Drosophila melanogaster: one gene and its partner. The protein of the gene in region 1 interacts with the protein of each later gene in a pairwise test. Each region holds a gene or a part of one and is shown on either strand. Other genes may lie near its edges.

Region 1 (10,498 bases):
GACACAACAGGCCAGCAAAAAGTGAGTGGGAGGAGAGGAGGCGAAAAGTGTGGTAATATTTGCGCAGCAGCAAGGCATCCATTGCCTAGCAATGAGTCCTTTTTGCTATTTTTTTTTCACTCTTTCTTTTGCTCCTGACAAGGGATCGCTATGCGTATTGAAAATAAAGCAAATAATACGCAAATCGTTGACCCTTTTCCATTTGCCATTACCACGAAAAAGCAGAAAGGTAGACCGGCCTCCTCAAAAATGCGAGACACGTTTCAGTTGCGAGTTACGGGACAAGGAAAAGGACTCCGCAAATCCAACACTGCGGCTATCTGGCAATTTGTCAAAAATGTGTCAATAATGGAGATCGATTGGGGCTCTTAAAAATTAACCGAAAATGGATTCACATTCGACTTGAAATCCATGGCCGTAACCCTGCAATTGTCTGAAACGGAAACTTGTGAAATGACTTCAATTGATATTTATAGGAACTATAGTATATAGATATATGTGCTTATATATTGGCACTTGTATATTACTTTACTATATTGTTTTTATCAAATTTGAGACAGTATTTCTAAGGTTATTTTATTTATCAGGACGGTAAAAGGTGGTATGACAGTTGCTTATCCATTATTTGAGACTTTAATAAATTTAAATCACTCCTTCACCTTATAAAAGTGTGTCAAACTTTTATTGAAGGTCGTAACTCAGCACACCCATCCTGACCTTAATTATGCATAATAAAACTTAAAGTCTAACTTGAACTATGCTTCCAATGCCATTAAAAATCTTGTACTGCCGTCACATTTCGCTTGTTGTGAAAGTTAAATTCTTAATTAAGCACAAATATTTAATAAGTGAAATTTACGGCATGCAGCGGCATCGAAACAAAGGAAAGCTTTAGGCATGAAGATTACCATAAACTTGTTTCCGCTGACGCTGCTTCTCTGTACCCTATAGTTCTGAAACCTATATTAAGGTATATGAACTATTTAAAACTTAAATTAATTAGAACGAAAGATATTCCATTCAACTACAAATAAATGATTATCGCAGTTGCTGAATCTGGTGATATAATCATATATATTAAATGTATTGTTTTATATATATTTATATATTTTGTATATATACCAAGGGTATTAACAAGTCCACCTGGATTCTGTGCAAATTTGAATTTTTCGCAGTTCGCTTTACCTCTTATATAATGACAATGGCAGCCACTGCCAGGACAAGAGCGGAAACGGATGTATATATTTTCGTTGGAGGCACCTAATTCACCCGCTTGTCTTGGTATTTGTATCTGTGGGTCTGTGTGTGTGCAATTGTTGGCGGTTCTGGATCCTGCGGATTCTGCACTCGCATCCAACGAAAAAGTTATGCTCAAGTTAATAGATAATTAACCATGCAAATTGCCGCGCAACAGTTTACAGATACGGGTCTCATCCTCATCCTCATCCCAACCACTAACCCCATCACCCCGTCGTCATCGTAATTTTCATTATCATTTTCATCCTCATCAGCTTCCAGATTCCAGATTCAGTTTCATTCTCACCATGAATCTCGCTGTGTCACCGGCTACATGCGTAAGCACTTCGTCTACCTGACTGTGCCAGGTGTCTCTGCTCGCTCAAGTACAAAAGAATTAACTCTAATTACTTTGTAATGTTGATTAAGCCTGTTAGAGCGCATTAAATATGTAAGCGACGTTTTGACATTTTCAGCATATTTGCCCGTGGCTTTTAAGTGGCAAAAACTATATGAGTTATGCGTATTTGCCACTTGACTCAGCGGCGAACTAACGCAATTTTAACTGGAATGTGGCTTCAATTATCTAACCGCAGTAATGTGCAAACAATTCGATTTCAATTCGTTTTCAAGGCATTTTCAAGAGCCGCACACAAAATGGTAATGGTAATGCCAATAGCCGAATAACAAAAATGCTAAATTCAAATTCAACTTTATGGCCAACGACGACAGGCGGCCGACAGCCGACAACAAACAAATGCCAATCCTGAACTCGGAACTCCAAACTGGGAGCTCGGAGAACTCGGTTCTCGACCTGGCCAAGGTAGCCGGGTCATAGCATAGTTTCTAAATCACTTTCTGACAGCCGTTTCGGCCCTCGCTAAAAGTCCAAAAAAACGCAAAAAAAAAAGCGCCCAAAAAAATAATCTGAAAAGGAAAACACCGGAGCAACGAGGATAACAATCGCAACGTCAGAAAGTTGCGCACTTTTTGTAATTTTATTTTATTTCCGTTTAAATGCGTGCACCGCCCCCTTGGTTACCACTTCTCACTTTTCGGATGAGCTGGGCTGAGGTTTGGTGCGATTTTAAAGCTAAATTATAGCAACATAAATTTTTACGGCCTCTTTTGCCTTTCAAGAGGCGGGATTCTTTTGGAAATACGAAAATAAAGCTGCCCAGGTGCAGGACTTAATTCACTTTACTCTGCACTTGACTCCAAAGCTCCTTTTTTTGACACTCGACGGCCGTTTCGCATTTTATTTGATGCCCATTTTCATTTTTGCGCCGGTTCTTGTTTTGCATATAATCAAAATAAATTACTTTGCACATTTTGCGGCACATAAATTATTTAAGAAACGGTCGCATCAAAGCGCAGAGAGCATATAACGCAAAACTTGTACATACAACATGTACACGCAACCTCGAGCACATATGGTTCTATGGGGCACCTCTGTATTTAATATACTTCAAAAACCTAATTTAAAATATTTTTATGATTAAAAACGAAAATTTTAGCATGACCATGCGGATATTAGCACCTGTTTCATAATAGGCTGAATAACATGAATCCCTATTTATTTTTAAGAATTTCCCAACTTGCTTCTAAGTCGTCGTTTCTTATAAAAGGTTCTATATTTGTGTAACATTATTTTTAATGTGTATATTTAGCAGTGTCCATGTGCAGCGAGCAGAAGTGACTGTCTAAATAGTGGCCGAGAAGTAGAAATGGAAACACAAGCCGAATATGAAAAGGAGCCGGAGCTGGGGATGTGGAAATGGAACTGAGACTGGAAAAGTGGGTGGAAATGGGGTAGCCGGGGGATCAAGGGCCCTGTTAGGGGACCGAAAAACAATGAGACGGCAAATGCCAACCGCATAGTGACAGATTTTTTTTAATTTTGCTAAAAACCTACGACTAATTCTCAAACGAGCTGACACAAATCTCGAAAAGTTTTTGCGCCAACATTTTTGCAGAAGCGTCTGTCTGCTGGTCCCTCAGTCACTTTGTCCTTCCGCCTCTCCGACTGTCACAGTTCCTTTCTGCCCGACTGTTTATCCTGCGGAGCATAAGCTTCATATATATACACACACATACAAATATACAGAACTGAATACATATATACTAGCTGCAGCAGAAGAACTCAGCGGAGAAGCTTTCGGGCTTATAGAAGAGGCAAAATAGGATTTTATACTGAATTGCTCCAGTTAGGATAGTAAATTATTAAAAAAAAAAAGGGATACTCCCTCAGAAAATTGAAGTTTATTTATTTACTTATTATTTATTTACTTAATCACAAGATTAACTCATTTGTTTCTGTGCACAAACAAAATCCCATAACAGAAAAAATGTAAACTATGCCTATGTAGCATATTTTGTCTAATAAATGTGTTAAGATGTTGTTACACTTTGTTTATTTAGGTTTTTGTGACACTTTTCTGCTCAATGAATTTATTTCTATATTTTCACCTTCATATTTATGCTGTTCTGACCCCAAGACCGAATACGAAAAGCAAAAGGGTTAAAATTGCATTTTATTGTGGGTCAAAAGTGCCAACTACAATTAGTTTAAAACGAGAAAACCTGTCAAATAAAAACAAAACCTAAAATGTAACATGCTAAAAAACGAACATATTATGACCAAGTTGAAGATTTTTTTTGTGTTTATGTTCCAGTGTGTTGGTTTATATGTTGATTTAGACAGTTTTATAAACCCAAAAGCAAACAGATAGTGTCAACGTTGCGTATACGCAGCGTAAGCCGTTCTCCCGCGGCAGCTGCAGTTAAGGCAAAATATGCACAATTTTAAATATATGTATATATGTATATAAAGAGGATGTGCATAACTGGTCCTGAAGTGCATGGTGAAAATTCAGGAGGCCAGGCGTTTTCTGAATTCTACTTCAAAACAAAAATTTTGGTGCTAATACAGCAATATTTTTACTCAAACTCGCAGCTTCAACTTGCCACATTATATTTTTTTTCCACCATGGAGTCTGCTAAAGTCCTAAATAAACTATTGAAGGAAGCTCCCAAAGATTCTAAAGGAAGCAAAGAGATTGAAGAGTTACGAAACCTGATCATAGAGCTGATGAAACCACGACTGGGACAACTACTTCAGATACTAAAGACTCGCATGATAGCTTCCACTCGAGATGAGTTTCAAGATGAAAATGAAGACTGGTGGCCAGATTATGAGCTATTATCAGCAGACTGGAGAGCCTTCACAGATATGAATGTAAGCAAGAGTTATTAAAAAAACGAAATAAGAAAAAACTAATAATATATTAATAAATTATACTACAGGGTCTTTTAGTCTGCACTCAGAATGCTTTAAAGGGACTACCGGGTGATCTTAAGGCCATTGGTGAAAAGTTCGATTATGCCTATTCCGTTGCAAAGCCTATAACTGCTCGAAATAAGACCAAAAACTATTTTTTAGTAGTGGAACTTATAGAGGACATGGAGGACTTTGTAACGCACCTCAGCCGCCTGTGTAGCAAGAATCTGGACGAGCGAAGGGACCTATACGATCTGGCTTCGATAACTAAAGATACTGGCGATAGAATCAAGGTGAAAGTCTTCGATGAACGCATCTTTGTGCAATTGCAGTCGCGAATTGCAAGTCTTAGGAACTACATAAGGGACTTCTGTGCCCTTTTCGATGCCCACTTGGAGTCCGAAGAGGAGGATGAATTCGAAACATTAGATATGTTGGCAAAACCCCAAGGACCACTTGCCACGGGAACCAATGCTGATAAGGCCCGGACTTAAGCCAAATCGATCAGGAAGTCATCTCACCGTCTATTCCCATGGCATGGCTTCCAACGGTTTTCATTGTACAATACCCACACTTGGAGCTACAGAACACAGAAACATGACTCCGGCATATGGGCGGTAATAAAGAGTTCGCCTCCAGTGTATTGGAGTATCTGGGAAAGCTTTTTATGCTTCAAAGTCAATATAGTAGTGTGCCATGTACAGAGCGCACAGTTTTAAAACGGTAAGTATGCCTTTCAGTTACGTGGTCGTGTGTGGTGACACACTTGCCCCTCCGCACCATCCACTGAACAGCCCTACGACCCTCCAACAGCCACCCACCCACTGCCCCTTGTCAATGGGCTGTTAGTTGCTCCGAGCACAGACGCCATTCAAGCGGAAATGCAGCACCGAAAGCCGGCTACAAGCTGCACTGAGCGAAATTCGTACAAATATTTGAGTGCTAAATGGTAAATGGTTAATTCGCTGCTTACATTGTAAGTACGACATATAAATTGTCATTGAAAAAGTTAGAAATAGGAATTGTTCAGAAATTTATGAGCTGTCGCTCTTAAGAGTTATATATATATAAGGAAGTATATATAAGGAAGCTAGTATGCGAAGGACTTACATCCAAAGCCATTTACATATTGATAAACCCTTGCTATTTACTGATTTTTATTAAAATCTTGCAAGTTTTAGCTGCCTTTTACTGTGTAAGTTCTATGAACGGGCGCACGGCAACGACCAAAAAAGAGCCAGAACCATAGCCAGAGGCAGAAACCTCCATGTGAAGTGTGTCATCAGTTTAAGGTTTTTGTGGGCAGCACTCGCACACAGACGGCAATCCACTCATACTAACACGCCGAACACGCACACAGATGCACAGGCACAGATACAGGCTCAGAGGGCCGGAGAAAACGATACGGAATACGGAGCTCCACTCACGAGACCGAGCAGCCCGTATTTTCATAATAAACAAATGGGTTGTATGGTTGGTTGGCTTAACTTTCGGGCTGCCAGCAAGTCGCAGATAGCAGATAGCGACAGCCACCGCTCCGCATTTGTTAGCGCAAATCAGTGCTATTTATATTGCGGCAGTGGAAAGGTATATGGCATGGTTTATCCTGGGCATATCTCGCGCCATATCTGAAGCACCAGGCCAGATCCCCAACGCCCCCGGGGGCATCACAGTGCGTGGTGCTTGTCAACACGCTTGCCAACTGCAGTTCGCCGCCGAGGGTTGCATCCAATTTGCTGAGATACTTGGCTACTGAGATGCAAATGCAGATGCATCCTTTCTTGAGAAAAAAAAAACAACCCTCCAGCTACCTATTTGCAATACTTATAGCGTGAAGCGTAACATTTGTCTTCAAAATACATTTTTTTTGGGAATGGTAGGACACAACTACGTAATAAAATAAGCATATTCACTCACAATTCTTATCTATACAATTTTCGAAGGTAAATAGGTTAAGATTGTGTTACGTTAATTTCAAATTTATAATAAGATATCAAATTGTTAGTTTACCCATAAAACCCAACCCAATTATTTGTAAAAGGTATCTTTAATTTACAGGCTGCGGGTTATCAGCATTCGCGATATGCACACAAAAGTTGCAATCTAAAGGGAGCAACTTCCGTTGCAGGTTGTCAATGCAACAAGTTCAAGAAGCGAAAACTTTACGTTGCCTATCGCAGCGTCAGAACCGCAAGAGACGGCTAAAAGTTGTGCTATCTATGCCATCAAAATTGAGATACCACCACCTACGCCATCGTCCTGCAACTTCTGTTCGGTTCGGTTCAGTTCGTTTCTGTTCTGGCTTCTGGTGCGGCACAATAATAAATTTATTACGAACTCTTTGGCGGGGCGTGTCGACGTCGTCATCGAGCTCCAGAGCTCCAAGTTCGCTCTGGATTTCGCCTACGATTCCTTGGGTGCGTGCAACTCAAACTCCTGCCATTTGGTTGCTAACCCGTAGTTATAGTGGCATGCTGCGCTTTAATAAAATATTATCATAAACGTAACGGAAGCTAGTTTTTCATATGCTTATATTCCCAGCCCGTGGAAGAAGCTTTCACAAATATCCGTATTTTTACTCCGGTTGTGTTTCTTTTCTCCGCCCTGTAGGATAGCAACGGGAGTAATATGTTTTCATAAATCAAATGTACGGAGCGTTGCTCAATATTTAATGTTTTGCCTTTCGGAATTTATACACATCAGGAATGTGGGGATTAAATTTGAATTTATCTCAAGTAAAGCCAGAGAGCACGACACTCATGAATATGAAAATCGTTTCTTTTAGTCAACTTCAGAATTTTTTTTTAGTTGAAGAAGGAAGCTATTTTTCAGGCCATTGACTTTGGATTAGCTTCTATTTAGTGCAGAAAATGAAATATTTTATAAATGACTTTTCAGTGGCTCCGAATAAGGAATTTAATTTTGAAATAAATTCAGCAGCCCAGTTTCGGGTTTATTTGCTAGTAAACTATGATTCGATTCCCAAGAATTCTCCACTGGCATTTCGTTTCTCTTTTAGCCGGAAACTTTCCTTCTGCTTCTGAGGCACTCGGATATTTTTATAATTTATTGCCAGCCACGAATGCACATATATGTACCTGTGTATTTGTCTAGCTAAATCTAGGGGAATGCTTTTCCGGTAGTTTTTTATTGCTCAATCGAGAATCGGATAGTGGGTGTGAGTTAATGGTTGGCTACTTTCTTTCCATTCGACAGAAATGTCGATGGGTTGTTCCTTTTGGAATATGTCTGAATGCGAGTGTGAATGGCTTTTTTATGCCCACAAGGATACCATGCCACATAATATATGCCTTATTAATTGGAAATGCGCAGCAGGATTATCGACTAATACGTGGTGTAACACAATGCTTGTCATCCCATAAATGTCCAACGAGTTTCGACGAGTCGAAATTGCTAAATGCATTAACTATAATTGGCTTTCGCCTAATTTCGCTTTTGGGTAATTAGACACTAATGAAACCTAATAGACCTCGCCGTGCCTCCAAAAGCCACATGTCTAAGCCTCGGGAATTCGGAGAAATCAGTCAATAAGCCAACAACCGCTGGCAGTGGATAACCACCTCGTATTAAACAAGGACAAATTGCCTGTCAATCTACGTGTAATTTTTATAAATTTCCAATTGTGTGCCAGGCATTTTTTCCTTTCATTCCCCACCGATTTTCCCCTTTTTTCCTGCCATTTTTATCGTGGGGTCGTAATTAACAGCACCAAGGAAACTAGGAAAATAGCGAAAAACAAGGAAAAGCTTGTGTAATGTAAGTCACTGCTAATGAACCCATCGCCGGTTGCTAGTGGATGGTGCTGGGAGAAAGTGGGTGGTTTCGGGCACCATTTAGTGGGTGGTGCTGTTTGGGTGGTGCCAGGTGAGACAGCCCATGCTAAAATGGCTTTATAAACAGACTGGCTACAACTCGCACTCCTTGTTTTAGATTTTTATTGCTAAACTTTGTTTCTTTGGTTGTTGGGCTTGATTTCATTTTTGCGCTCAGCACATTTATTTGGTTAGGCACTGGGAAAAATAATCAAGAATAGCGTGGAAAAGTGTTGATCGTGTTAATGAATTTTAATTCACTTTTCCATTAAAACCGATTCAATCCGAATCGACTTTTAATGCAAGATAGCGTAGTTTTTGCTTGCTTTTCATGCTGTTATCTTTTCCCATATAGAGATAGATGGTAATGGAAAAATAGCAAAATAGAGCCATCGACTATTTTCCATATCGAAGCCAGTCGTTAGCGCTTGTCGACTTTCACTTCGCCCATTCTCATGCGACACTTTGAATGTTTTAAATGGTTTTTTATTGCCTCGCCCCTCGCCGTTTCCTCGTTTTCCGCGAATCCTCGCCTGTATCCTTGTATTCGCCCTCGTCCTGCCTCGCTTCTGCATAAAATTAGTTTAATCACTGTTTTCAGACTCGAAAGGGGACTGGCAAAGGGGGGAGGTGAGGGCGAGCCAAACCCATAGGTAAGCGTAAATAATGTCAAAGCAGTGCAACTCTGGAAAAGGACATCGCCCAGCACCGCCCACCCGTCGGTGCCCCTTCGCCATCGTGCTTGGTGTCAATAGAAACATTAACTGGGCGTGCTGACAAAATTAGCACAACAATTATGCAGGTATTAGTCGAAGTTTTCTCGTATTGTGGCTCTGTATTGCCTGGACTGACTCCCTTTGGGAAAGGTCCTTCGGGGCGGAAACAATGGAAAATAACGTTTGACAGGAAAGAAAAGGTTCTATCAACACGGAAATAGGTGCCATTTGCTCTTTTGTACTTCTTTGAGTACATCATTTGTGTTTCTTATGACAAAACTTTAGAAATTGGGTGGGAAATTAGCACATTGCAAGGCGTGTTCAATTTAACACATTTTTAGTCATTGTATTTTACACAAAACTCTAATCAGTAGAAAGTCGCATTTGCATGTTTAGGAAACAGAAGAAACTTAATTAAGTTTAAGTGCGTTTCCCCACATTCCATTAATGTGAAATGCATTTGCTATTTTATAAATACGATTAAATCATTTCATCTCTGCATTTCCTTAGGTCATCATAAAGTCTGAAAATATTTTGTGGTAAACCAGTTAGGCAAGTTACATAAATGAATTTAGTCTATTTACCTTCATAAACATTTTTGAAATGCTGAGGATATTTACATTTTACCAGCCACAAAATGGAGAAATGATCGTCTGCCAACTACTTGTATACTTCTTTCGAGAAATGCAATATATGAAAAAGCAAGTTCATAGACGGGTAAAGTAAAAATACTCTGTAGAAATACCATTGGGCATTATAAACTGCAAACCACTCATTCACCAAATAGATTCTTTCAAGTAGTCGCAAAAACTGACATTGCGTATACGACACGTGGGCAGCAGTAAAAACTTAAAACGCAGCTCGTTAAACGGGACAAGAAGTACTATACGGAACAGGTGAGCGTACCCGTGTCAGTTTTATCAATTTATCTTGTGACCGAGCGTCGTCAACAAAATGCTTATAATGTGCTCCAATAATTGCAATGGTCTTTTATTCCTCTACTTCGCAACAACAATGGTGGTCTTTCACCTGGGGGAGAAAGTGGCAAGCGGAAGAGGCAGGTGTGCTCGACCAGAGCGAAATGTGCTGTTGTCATGAAACATTTGTCACAATAAACTTTATTTGTTTTCGTGTACTGCATGTATACCTGCACGGAAAATAATTGAATGGAAGTAATTACTGCATTTAAAAGGTTCACTTCGATTTTTTAATTACTTGTAATAATACTAATAAATAATTTATCAATTTTACTACTAATAGAGGCAATCTCCGATATAAATTTAACCTTACAACTTGTTTGATGTATTACTATGTACATTTTAATGAAAATGATTAAAAATCTCTTTTTAAGATCTAACAAATATTTTGCGAGACACAGTCGGTTTAAGTATTCTAGTAACCACATTGAAAATAATATCAAGAACTCCGCCATT
Region 2 (10,998 bases), on another chromosome or scaffold:
TAGATGGACCCAAAAGGAAGAGAAGGGAAAGGCAATGAAATGAAAGGAAGGGAAACCCCAAACAAAACTGTCGGCAAAGACGAACTTCATCTTGATGCGGTCGGATTCAATTAGATGTCGCCAGACCGAAACCGAAAAGGAAACCTTAACCGAGAACCTGGCTCAATTCAAGTTTTAAAGTTATATTCGGGCGGCCACAAGATAGTGACTGAAGAAAAACAGGGTATTCACTTTATATGTACAATAATAATATATAATCTAATCCTTGAATAAGACTATCTATTGTGGATTCCCTTTGTAAAGGATACGGAATGTCTTAATTAAAAAGACCTATTTCGATTCTCTTAGATCAGAGCTCTCGGAAAAAGTGTACCTACCCACCTCAAGAAAGGGTAAAAGGCGGCACGTAGAAAATAAAAGTCAAGTCGGTTTTGATTAGAAGGCGTTTCCAGCTCCATAAACCGGCAGGAGTCGGTACTGACGTGCCTGACTTAGACAGCGGTCAGTTTAGTGTAGGAAGACGGAAAAAACGCCCAAATTACATCCTCGACGGCCACTGTGCATTTTGCATTTTGCAGTTTTCAGTTTGCATTTTACATTTGCCCATTTGCATTTGCATGGCCGGTGCCACAAACTGGCCCGAGGCAACGTCATCGACATCGACATCGCCGTCGTGGCGCATTATTAAAGATGCATAGCTTGAAATATTCAATCAAGTAGACGGCGGTGGTGCGGCGGTTCAGGGGTTGTGGGGTTCGGTGGTCGGGTGGTTGGGTGGCTCAGTGGTTCGGGGGCGGATATGGAGCCACAAAATTGGCATCGCCATCGTCGGTGTGTTGATTTATGCAACATTGACGTTGACGCTGCAAAGTCACATTTGGCTGGTGGTCGAAAGCTGTTTGGGCTGGGCTCGAACTCAGCTCCGGCTTGGATTTGGTTCTGGTCTGGTCGGGTCGGGTATGGTCTGCTTTGGGCCACATAAGCAAATATTTTGTGGCTATGGTAGCCGGCTAGCTGGTATATTGTGTATGGCGCATATACACACATGTGTCTATACATCCTGCAGGCATTCAATTATATTGCATGTTGTATGATGTCCTACGCTGTATCGCACAGGAGTCCAGCTCGAATGGCTATTTCCAGTTCCACGCCACAAGGAGAAGGACGAGGAGTGGTCCCCAAGACTTCCCGAATGTCACCCGTGTACTGGAGATGGTGTGTGCGTGTGTAGCAGTTAATTTGTTATTCAAATTTGTGTGTTATATATTGTTATTACAATGGAAATCGTTGGTCAGGAGCAGCTCACTTGTTCTTGCCGACGGGCACAGCAAAGGTTAAGGCGACTTGGACAGGGTCAATAGTTTCGTTTGGCATTGAGGAGGTTGCCCGTTGGAGACCAGCAAATTGATGCTTTCTGGATTATTTATCATTAGTCTATAATGTTGTTGGGACTCGAAATAGGATTTTGGAAAGTATAGAAGTTGAATATGCAATATCATATAGAATTTTAAAAAGCCTTTATTGTTGGTATTGTTAATTCTAATTTGCAAGTGCATCAAATCGAAATGCATTCATATGCATATATTAGTCGCAAGTCTCATCTTTTCCCACTTATTTATGAGGTTTCTATCGCAAGAGAAATAAATTTTCAATTGATTTGAATGAAATCAAGTTGTGTGCTTAATCCTCAATTTATGCTATCTGTATTCATATAACAAGCATTTACCTAACAATCGGACCCATTAATTAGCTCCCCGGTCAAGTGGAGTTGGTGTCCCCAACTCCCCGATGTGCCATTCATTCACCTTGACACCTGGAAGAAAAAAAAAACGCCCGAGCGATGGAAACCCTAGAAGAGTTTAAGGGCCAACAACTATCGAGGATTAAGGCTTAACCGTCTGGTCAAGCGTCTGGCCGGTTCCTCCTCCTCCGAATCTGATTCTTTGGGCTCGGATGGGGTCTGCTCGGGTTGTCTGGTCGGGTAAACATCGAGGGGAATATGCGACTGCTAAGCGGATTAATTTAGTGACGTGCTGCTCAATGGGGAAGCAAACGGGTGGGGCAAATTGAAAATAGAAAGAAGTGGGAGCGAGGAACGTGCAACGATATCCAATCATAATTATAGAGTCCAACGCCTCGAGTCGATGAAATTTACACAACAAAAGGTGGCCGCGACATTTCCAGCTGTCAGCATTAATTAAAATGTTTCCATACATCACCTCGTCCGACTTCTTACACCTTCTTTTTTCGGCAATCCAATCCCGAAGACCCAAAGACCAGGCAGAGCGGAAATGTCACCAGCGGGCACCGGGAAACCAAAACACGACTAGAAGCCGACATGGCATAAAGATGTCAGAGAAACCGAGTGGGTTGGGGTATTAAAAACATATTCTGAATCGCATATGTGTATGGATGTTTTCAAACTTATTTCTGTCCGCAGGGCGTTTGTCATCCCGATAATTTGTGGTGCTGATTAATTTTTGCCACTCCTCGCACTGAAGAAGTGCAAACTTTTGGCAGAGCACAAATTCAAATGTTTAAGCCAATTATTTTGCCGGTCAAAGGGATTGTTTTTCTAGCATATGCATAATTAACACGATGACATCTAAAAACTGTTTTATCGAAATTGTTTTATGCATTTTCGCATCAATTATTGAAGTTGAATCTGTCAGTTAGCCGGCATTAAAGTTGCATTGCAGCAAAAGTGTTGAGCCCAAACCCAACTTGTGCATTTGCTGAAAAAGCGGAGGTCGTGTCAAGAGTTCGACAGGTTAAACGACGAATCGAGACTCCTGTCAATAAATAATTGAAAATCAGAGCCGCCGGCCGAATGGTCGACTATTGTTTTTTGTCACCGTCTCTTTTCGGTGGTAATTAAAAAAGTTTTTCCCTGCTGAAAAATAGCAAGAAAATTTTCAATTGACCAGAGAGCGGGTTTTTTTTTTTAGACCGGCTAATTGTCATGCAGAGCAGTGGTAAGAGGAACATTTCCCGGGCTGACGTAATTAAAAAGCCGTCAAGCGAAGTTGGCGCAGTTAGCGCTAAATGTCGTCCAGTTGATGCACAGACTCTGGAGCTTAAGTACTGGCCTTCCATCCCGCCTGCAGATCTCTAATTAAATAAGCAAGTGTCACATTTGTCTTGAGTGCCCGACAATTCGGTGACTTATGATGACTGCAGAGCAGGACGCGACGAAAGCCGCTCCAGGACCCCAATTCGGACCATCCACTTGGACGGAGGCATTGAGGAGCAGCGGAGAAGATTTATGAGGTAAAAGCAATTAGAAAGTGGCATTAACAACCGAATGCAGAGCTCAGCACAATTAACAATTGCCACAAGCTGCAGGAGCAGGCTAAGAGCAGCGAACCATCACACAAAGCACTTCTTTCTATAGAAACAAACAAACGTTTTAAAAGTTTCGCTTTTAATAAGCTTTTATAGTTGTAATAGCTGTGAGGTGTGCCTAGTCTTCCCTATGAACTCTTTGAATTTTGATATCCAATTAGCACAGCGACTTATCTCTGGCTTCCTCGTGCTTTATCGAGGGATCAGATGATTCGATTTCCTTTACAACGCCAGTTAATATTTCCACTTCGCCCATGATGGCATCCAACACCTTGTCCAAGTCGCCGCGAGCGGGAAACGAATGTACATCTAAAATAATAAAATGAATAAATTATTTAATAATAGCAAGATTTTTTGACTAACCTCTTCGCCGTAGAAGGATTCGGTGAAGGTTGGTAATCGCATCTATTGTGCGCTCCTTGTCCATGTAGTTGTTGTTGATGGCGTCCTTGGTCTTGGCCAGGATCTTCTCCCATCTGAGGCACTGCACTCTGGACTCGTTGTAGGATCGTTCCAGTTTGGCCAGATCGTTCTTTAGACCCAGCACAGTTAGAGCCGCATCATTTGTGATCTGCACCATACGCTGCCGCATGTTCTCGATGTCCTGGAGCTTTTGATGCTCCAACTTGTTGATCTCCACTTGAGCCAGCACTGTAGAACAAAAAAAAATTAATAACTTTATTTCATTTTATAAATTAGCAATGCTCACTCAGCGCATCACAGCGATCGGTGCAGTCCTTTGGCGAGACGAATATGTCGGATACCTTCACCACCTCGTCGAGCACCTTCTCGTAGGGCTGGAACTCCTGCACGGTGGCCTTGAGAGCCTCCCGAAAGGCCTTGAGTTCGCCGATCGAGTCCTTGAAGCTCTCAATGCCCTCGCCGAGCTCCTTATGGTTGAGCGTCTCCGCTTGGGCGGTCTTCTCGGCCACTCTCTTTTTGTCCGCGCAGTCCTTGATGAAGCTGTTCACCTCGATGAAGCGCCGCCTCAGCCGCTCCTGGATCTTGTACATGTTCCTCACCCGGGCGGAGTTCAGCTTGGTCTGCCGCTTGGCACTGGTCAGCATCTCCTCCTGCAGCTTGAGCATGGCTTCGTGCTCGCGGAGATTGTTCACATATATCAGTTCGATGGAGTCGCCGGCAGAGTCCGAGTTCGGTGGAATTCTACAGGAAGTTACGAATAGGTCAAATAATTGATACCAGATAGAGACATCCTTGCAACAGTAAATTACGAAGCTGTAAAATTTCTCAAAAATCTCAAACTGCACTACCAGGATCATTTTAGGATTGGGTACTTCTCTTTCAGCCTTTTTTCAGTGTGGGATTCACTACTTACACGAAGAATTTGTTCTGCTGCTTAGAGCTGATATAGTCCCCCACGGCATCCTCCGGCCGCAGGTCCAGATTTCCCAGAACATCGAGCTTCTTGGTGGGCTTCACGCGGGGCATCTTGGATCTCTTTGCCGAAAGTAAAAGCTCAAGTGTACGTTTTTGTTAGTTTTTTATATTTTTTTTTGCTTTGGTTACCGCGATACAGCGCGGATTGTGCGTTTTGTAGTAGTAGTTGTGTGTGCTGTGTGCTTACTTTTCAAAGTGTGTTATTGTTTTGTAATAAAAATTAACAAGACCTACTTGGAACATGTTTTTTATTTGGGTGACACATAAAAACAATTGGTTGCCAGGAGGTTCTTTTATTACCGTGGCAATGGTTGAGAAGGTGTAACCAGTTTTGTGTCATGGTAACTGCACAATTTGGTTTCTTTCGAAAAAACAAAATAGGAAGCTTCTTCGGCAAGCCGAACCTAATATACTCTTGATACTCGATGATGATTAATTTTTAATCAACAACTATAGAATTATGATATCTTTTCAATTGTTTTTACTTGATTTAACGACTGGTCGTACTTATGAAGGAAACGTCAGCAATTGCATAAATATCTGAATGTAGTAATAAAAAATGGTTTAATCCTTTTATCCTTGACTGTGCTGTCTGCCCATATACATGTAGAATTACTCATCACACATCGTTCTCCAATAGATATTCCCCCAATATATATCAATATATTTGAAAAGATTATATTTTAATAGGACAAGATGCCGCGACGTAAGCCCACCATTAAGACCGATGTGATCGGGGATCTGGACCTCAGTCCAGAGGTCGCCATCGATGACTATCGCGTCTCTCGCCAGCAGGACCAATTCTTCGTGTAAGCTAAAAGAGCAACTACAATATGTAAGTCATACTATTAATGAAACTTGGATGGTCTAGGAAACCGCCCAATTGGGATTCGGCCGGGGATAACATCGAGATGCTGTACATAGCCAATCTCCGGGAGTACGACGCCATGAAGCAGGTTCAGATCCAGCTACTCAAAGATGCCAAGCGGCAAGCCGCATTAAATGTGCAGCGCATTCGCAAGATGTACAAGATTCAGGAGCGCCTGCGCAAACGCTTCGTCGAGGTGAATGGATTCATCAAGGATTGTGCGGACAAAAAGCGCAGTGCGGATAAGTCGATTCGCGAGGAGACCGTTCTCCACGCGGAGGTCACCAAGGAGATAGACGAGTTCAAGACCTCCATTGCCGAACTGAGCACCTTTCGCAATGCGCTCAAGGCCACGGTGGCTCAGTTTCAGCCATACGAGAGGGTCCTGGAGGAGGTAGTCGAGGTGTCGGACATCTTCATCTCAACGAAAGACTGCATCGATCGATGTGACGCTCTAAGTGGGTTCTCCACACCTCCTGTAATTTCCATTCTAAATTTGTTTTTGTTGTGCAGTGTTGGCCCAGGTGGAGATCAATAAGCTGGAGAGCCAGAAACTCAACGAGATCGAGGAGATGCGCCTGCGAATGGTTCAGATCACCAGCGAGGCGGCCTTGACCGTTTTGGGCCTCAAAAACGATCTGGCCCGTTTGGATCGTTCCTATGTCAGCTCGCGGGCCACTTGCCTCAAGTGGGAAAAGATACTAAGTGCCTGCAAGGACACCACGTCGCTCTACAACCTGGACAAGGAGCGCATGTTTGATGGCATTCAAATCCTGTACCGCATGCTCTGCAAACGTCGAGGTATGTCCTTGAAATCCTTTGACTCTAGCTGATGTACCAACTCCACCCCCGCAGACATTGTTCCCAGCTACCACAGCTATGAGATCGACAAAATCATGAGCTTCATCATGCGCGAAATAAGTCTTCTTTCATCGGTCCTCCAGGAATTGGAGTCCAATAAGGGCGATAAAGTCGGCGCTGGACGTATGTGCTAGTCGGAAAATATAATATTTTTCATGGAGCATAAATAAATAAATAAATGATTTTAAATCCTTTAATTAATGGAACGAAGTTCAAATAGCTTTTACTAATTTCCGTTTGGGTTATTTTTACTGCAAATATTTAAAAAAAATTCAGCCGAATCAGAGATTAGAAGGGTTGTAGCGAAGGAATAAATGTACGACTTGATTTATGAGCTCCAAACTGTTTAGGGTTTTTTGTTTGAACCGAGAGGCCTTACATCCTTTCAGATTTACTCTCATTCCTAAGAACTTAAATGGGCGCTCCACCTTCAGCTTTATGGCACCCATAACATTTGTCTAACCCCAAAACCTTGCCAGCCCTCCCAAAAAAAAAAAAAAAAAAAAAAAAAACTAGAGAACCCACAACATTCGGTTGGGCATTGTTGTTCCGTGCCCAAAAGAAAATCAAATGGAATCCGATAAAAAGGAAATGCATTCGAGGACTGAGATACCAGAGGCTGGGCAACTTTCAAGTGGCACACGAACTTCAAATCAGGGAAGGACAAAGCGATGGGCAAGAAAATAAAGTTGGCAAATCGAATCTGCGACATCTTTCCATTCAATTGCCAATTGGATTCTATGGCCCGGGGATAATCTAACTTAAGCACAGATAATTCTTTTATGCGAACATTTTGATTTCTGTCCTCGCATTTACAACAACGTTGGCTCGAATGGAACTACCAACTAATTTTTGTGCCCGAGAACCGTTGCCACGCCCCCGCTCCAGCTCCACCTACCGCCCACACGTACGCCCACCCAGGGCATTGAGTTGAGTCGCCAGCGGAGGCGTGGCACTTGTCTCTTATTCAATTTGCTTTATTTGATTTGCGATTTTTGCTGATATCAGCCCGAAGGAAAACTCCCAGGACTACCGACAGGACACTCGACGATATACGTAGCCTAAAAATCAAATCAAACGGAAAGCAAACTAAAATGCACAGACATTTATTTCGAGCAAGAATAAAAAACAAAAAGCAATGGTAAGACGAAGCGATCGAAATCGAAGTAGTTCGGCAAAATAAACATTTGGTTTATTTAAATGGACCGTATGGATGGGCCACAAGTTGGCCCGCAAGTTGGCCCACAGCGCCCGGCAGTCATTTTTTGTACATTTCGGATTTTACTTTTGAGTGCGACAGCAATTACATTAAATTGCTTGGCGGCATGGGGCTGGCTCTTAGTAAAATCATGCAAACACTTTAGATTTGTTGCCTGCAATTTAAATAATTGAGTAACGCATTCTATGCCCGCTTAGATTTGAGTTTTTGAAGTGCCTGTCATTAAAATGAATCTTTTAGATAAATGAGCAGCCGCCGCCTTCTCCGAATTTTATCATCGCAGATACCAATTCATTCTGTCCTGTTCATATGAACAATAAAGCCTAATGGCATTCCCAGCTAATCCCTTAATTGCATTACAATTAACTGTCTGCGAATTAAATAATATTGCCAGCAATGCGGTGTAGGTGAAACGAGGCCACGCTGATGCGAGGGTTGCTTGAGCATTTCTTGAAATACTTTCAGTTTCGAAATTGAGCTTTAGAATTGTTTATCACAGTTGTTGTCCCAATTACTTCGAACTTTGCAGATAAACTATGCGCTTTGAATGTCAAACTGCAATGTGATGTAGAATTTGCACATGAAATGGGGCAAAGCATATTTCAGACTCCCATTTTTACACATTTTGCAGAACTAGTTTGAGCAGACCCTTTGAATTTCTTCCTTCCAATTTAAACTTGAACCTCCTCTCAAAATGCAATACATTTATCTTCCCTATCATTTGAATTCTAACCAATTCTTTCCTTTAAAATTTAACAAATATATCTCTTAAAAGCAGACAACTATTAGCAAGGGAAAACTACCTTTCCGCCCCCGCAATTATCCTTTTCGTAAGTTCTGCAGCTTCTTGGCGCTTTTGCTGCCATTTGCTTTTTTCCCGCTTACTAGACGAAACACTTAATTTAACTTTACAAGTTCTTAATGTGACGGCCAGACAGAAAAGTTGGGCGGCGGAGGACGAATGGCTGCCCACTTGTATGGGACACTGGCGACAAATAGCAATTAGAGAAACAATGCCTGCAAAATGCACGACTGGCAGGCCGAAAGGAGCAGACGAAATAGGCGCAATTAAAGGACACTTTGCGAGGACAACTTGAAGCGAGGACTTTAAGTCGATGCGAGCACATCCTGCCGGTAGCTGCAATAAATGTCAAGCGATTATCCGGCACAACAATGGCAGGCTCAGCAGTCAAAGGAGCAACCAGTCGAAGAAGCCAGAAGGAGCTTGATTAATACTATAACACATGATTTATTATGCCTGTCAATCGGTGGAGGGGGGGGGGGTCCCTTTATGAAAGCTCGCCTCAGAGATTGAAACCGGAATCAGAGTCAGAATCGGAATCGGAATCAGAATAGGAATTGTCGTTGGAGTGTCGGAGATGGAGCTGGATTTACTGACGGAGTCGTCGTCGGGCGACGGGGCCTGTGATAAGATGGCAAATCGGCTTATGCCCTGGGACAACAACAATCGGCATCATCAATTCACTTGGCGACATTAATATCCTCTCTCAAAGGAAGCGGGAAGGGATCCAAAAGCTGTCGGCTGACATTTGTGACACCTGCATTGATTTGTCTTCCTTTTTTGTACCCCGTTGCCAAGCAATTCACGGGGTATGCTGTACTTGGAGATTGGAGCAACAGGCAAATATTTTGAGCTGGTAGGTATTCTGGAAATAACGAGTTATACTTAAACAGCTTTTCTCAAACTCAAATTTCTTGTCACCTTTATCAAATTAATCTTGAAGGAATGCAGTAGATTTTAAACCAGCTTGGGTTATTTGGTAACCTCCCTTAATTTGTAGGGTAACATTTATTCGTGAATTCGATTTGCTTGCCTTTAATGTGTCATCGGAGTTGGTGGGCGGAGATAAATGCCACCTGCCGCCCACAACTCACTTGACTGAGTACCTTTCATGTCTTACAAATGCCTTTTTTATGCGCTAATGTTACTGCGGCTTCTGGTGACTTTAAGTTACCGGAGCACCACCCAACCAGCCACCTGGCCACCCACCTGACCACCCGACCACCCCCTGAATGAGAGCCATTAGTGCCGGCTTCTAATGGCCCGACGACAAGGAGCTGCAATTAGAGCACACTCAAGCTGGGAGTCAACTATGGGATGGAGATGGGGCCGAAGGACTTTTCCTACCTCACATACACAGTTGATAATTTATTCATTTGCCGGCTGGAACGACAACAGTTATGGACCTCTGTGTTTGCCGAAAGTTAACCACACACATGCCAAGATGGAGGAGCTGCCTACCCTTAATGGCTTCATTAGAGATCAACCCCTGCGAGGAATACAAATACAAATCATCATACAGCACAAATCGCATTGAAAAATTTTAATTTCATTGGGCGTCGAAATCAACGGCTTAAATAGTTGTGCAAAATATGTGTTAAACATCTGCGGGATTGTTCCTTAAGTCCCATTGTTATCAGACCCTTGCTTAAGCCCTAACAATTTTCCAGGCCATTGTTCGATTTTAAAGACTCTCGGCACAACTGCTGGGAAATTGAAAACGGATGCGGAATTGGAATTGTAAATTTTACACTTATCCAAGCGGCATTTGTTCGCATTTTATTGGCTCGAATTGGGCTCGGCATATGCCCGTGTGTGATTCCGATTGTGTGCCCTCTGCTCCTTGATTACAATTTGCATAAAAATATCGTTCCAATCGAGAGCCCCGAGAATTATGTTGCACATTTATGGCCCTCGAATTCAGACTTTAAGGAAGCGAGCTCTTGTCTTTTATCGTTTTCCTTTGTTATCCGCCTGGAGGAGTCGGGGTCCACAAGGTAGTCTCTTCGAAAGGGTTTTAGATGGATGACAGCCGAAATTTATTACGCCTAATGATTGTCAGATGTGGATTAGCCTTTTTCAACCACCGGCTGGATGTTAAAGAAATCCTGGGGCTTAGGCCAATAATATCTTTTTATTTACAGTGCAGGATATGATACTATATTATGCACAATGATTAAAAACTCCACCGACTTGCTTTTAAAGCCCTCTTCTTTAAGTAGAATATCCGAGCAGAAAAGTTATCTTTTCTAAAGCACAAAAAAAATAGTTACTAAGTAAAATAAGTTTTCCTTTACGTAAAGTCTTAAAGCCATCACTTTACCACCTATTTAAGCTCCCCAAAAAAACGAGCTGTTATAAAATACCTGCTTCCTTTTACTGCAAGTCTAGGTCATGTCAGAGCCATAATCTTCCTAGATGGAAACGTAAAACCATCAAGCGCCACTCCAGAGAACCCAGGTCACCAGGTCTCCAAGGCTGCCCACTCCCACATCCCCAACCCGC

Evidence for each region. The genes of interacting proteins can lie anywhere in the genome.
Region 2: the proteins of CG17744 (region 1) and CG17564 interact in a two-hybrid assay, tested with the Drosophila melanogaster proteins (one large-scale study listed by BioGRID).

What each region holds. Positions count from the first base shown.
Region 1 is NT_037436.4:7,020,476-7,030,973, reverse strand, and holds CG17744 (uncharacterized protein), read left to right. Parts: upstream 1-4,179; 5' UTR 4,180-4,225; coding exon 4,226-4,474; intron 4,475-4,542; coding exon 4,543-5,010; 3' UTR 5,011-5,173; downstream 5,174-10,498.
Region 2 is NT_033779.5:19,294,934-19,305,931, forward strand, and holds CG17564 (uncharacterized protein), read right to left. Parts: upstream 5,001-10,998; 5' UTR 4,795-5,000; coding exon 4,682-4,794; intron 4,510-4,681; coding exon 4,055-4,509; intron 3,997-4,054; coding exon 3,709-3,996; intron 3,655-3,708; coding exon 3,503-3,654; 3' UTR 3,412-3,502; downstream 1-3,411. Other genes in the region: CG10750 (uncharacterized protein), read left to right, coding at 5,440-5,552, 5,615-6,069, 6,125-6,414, 6,469-6,606.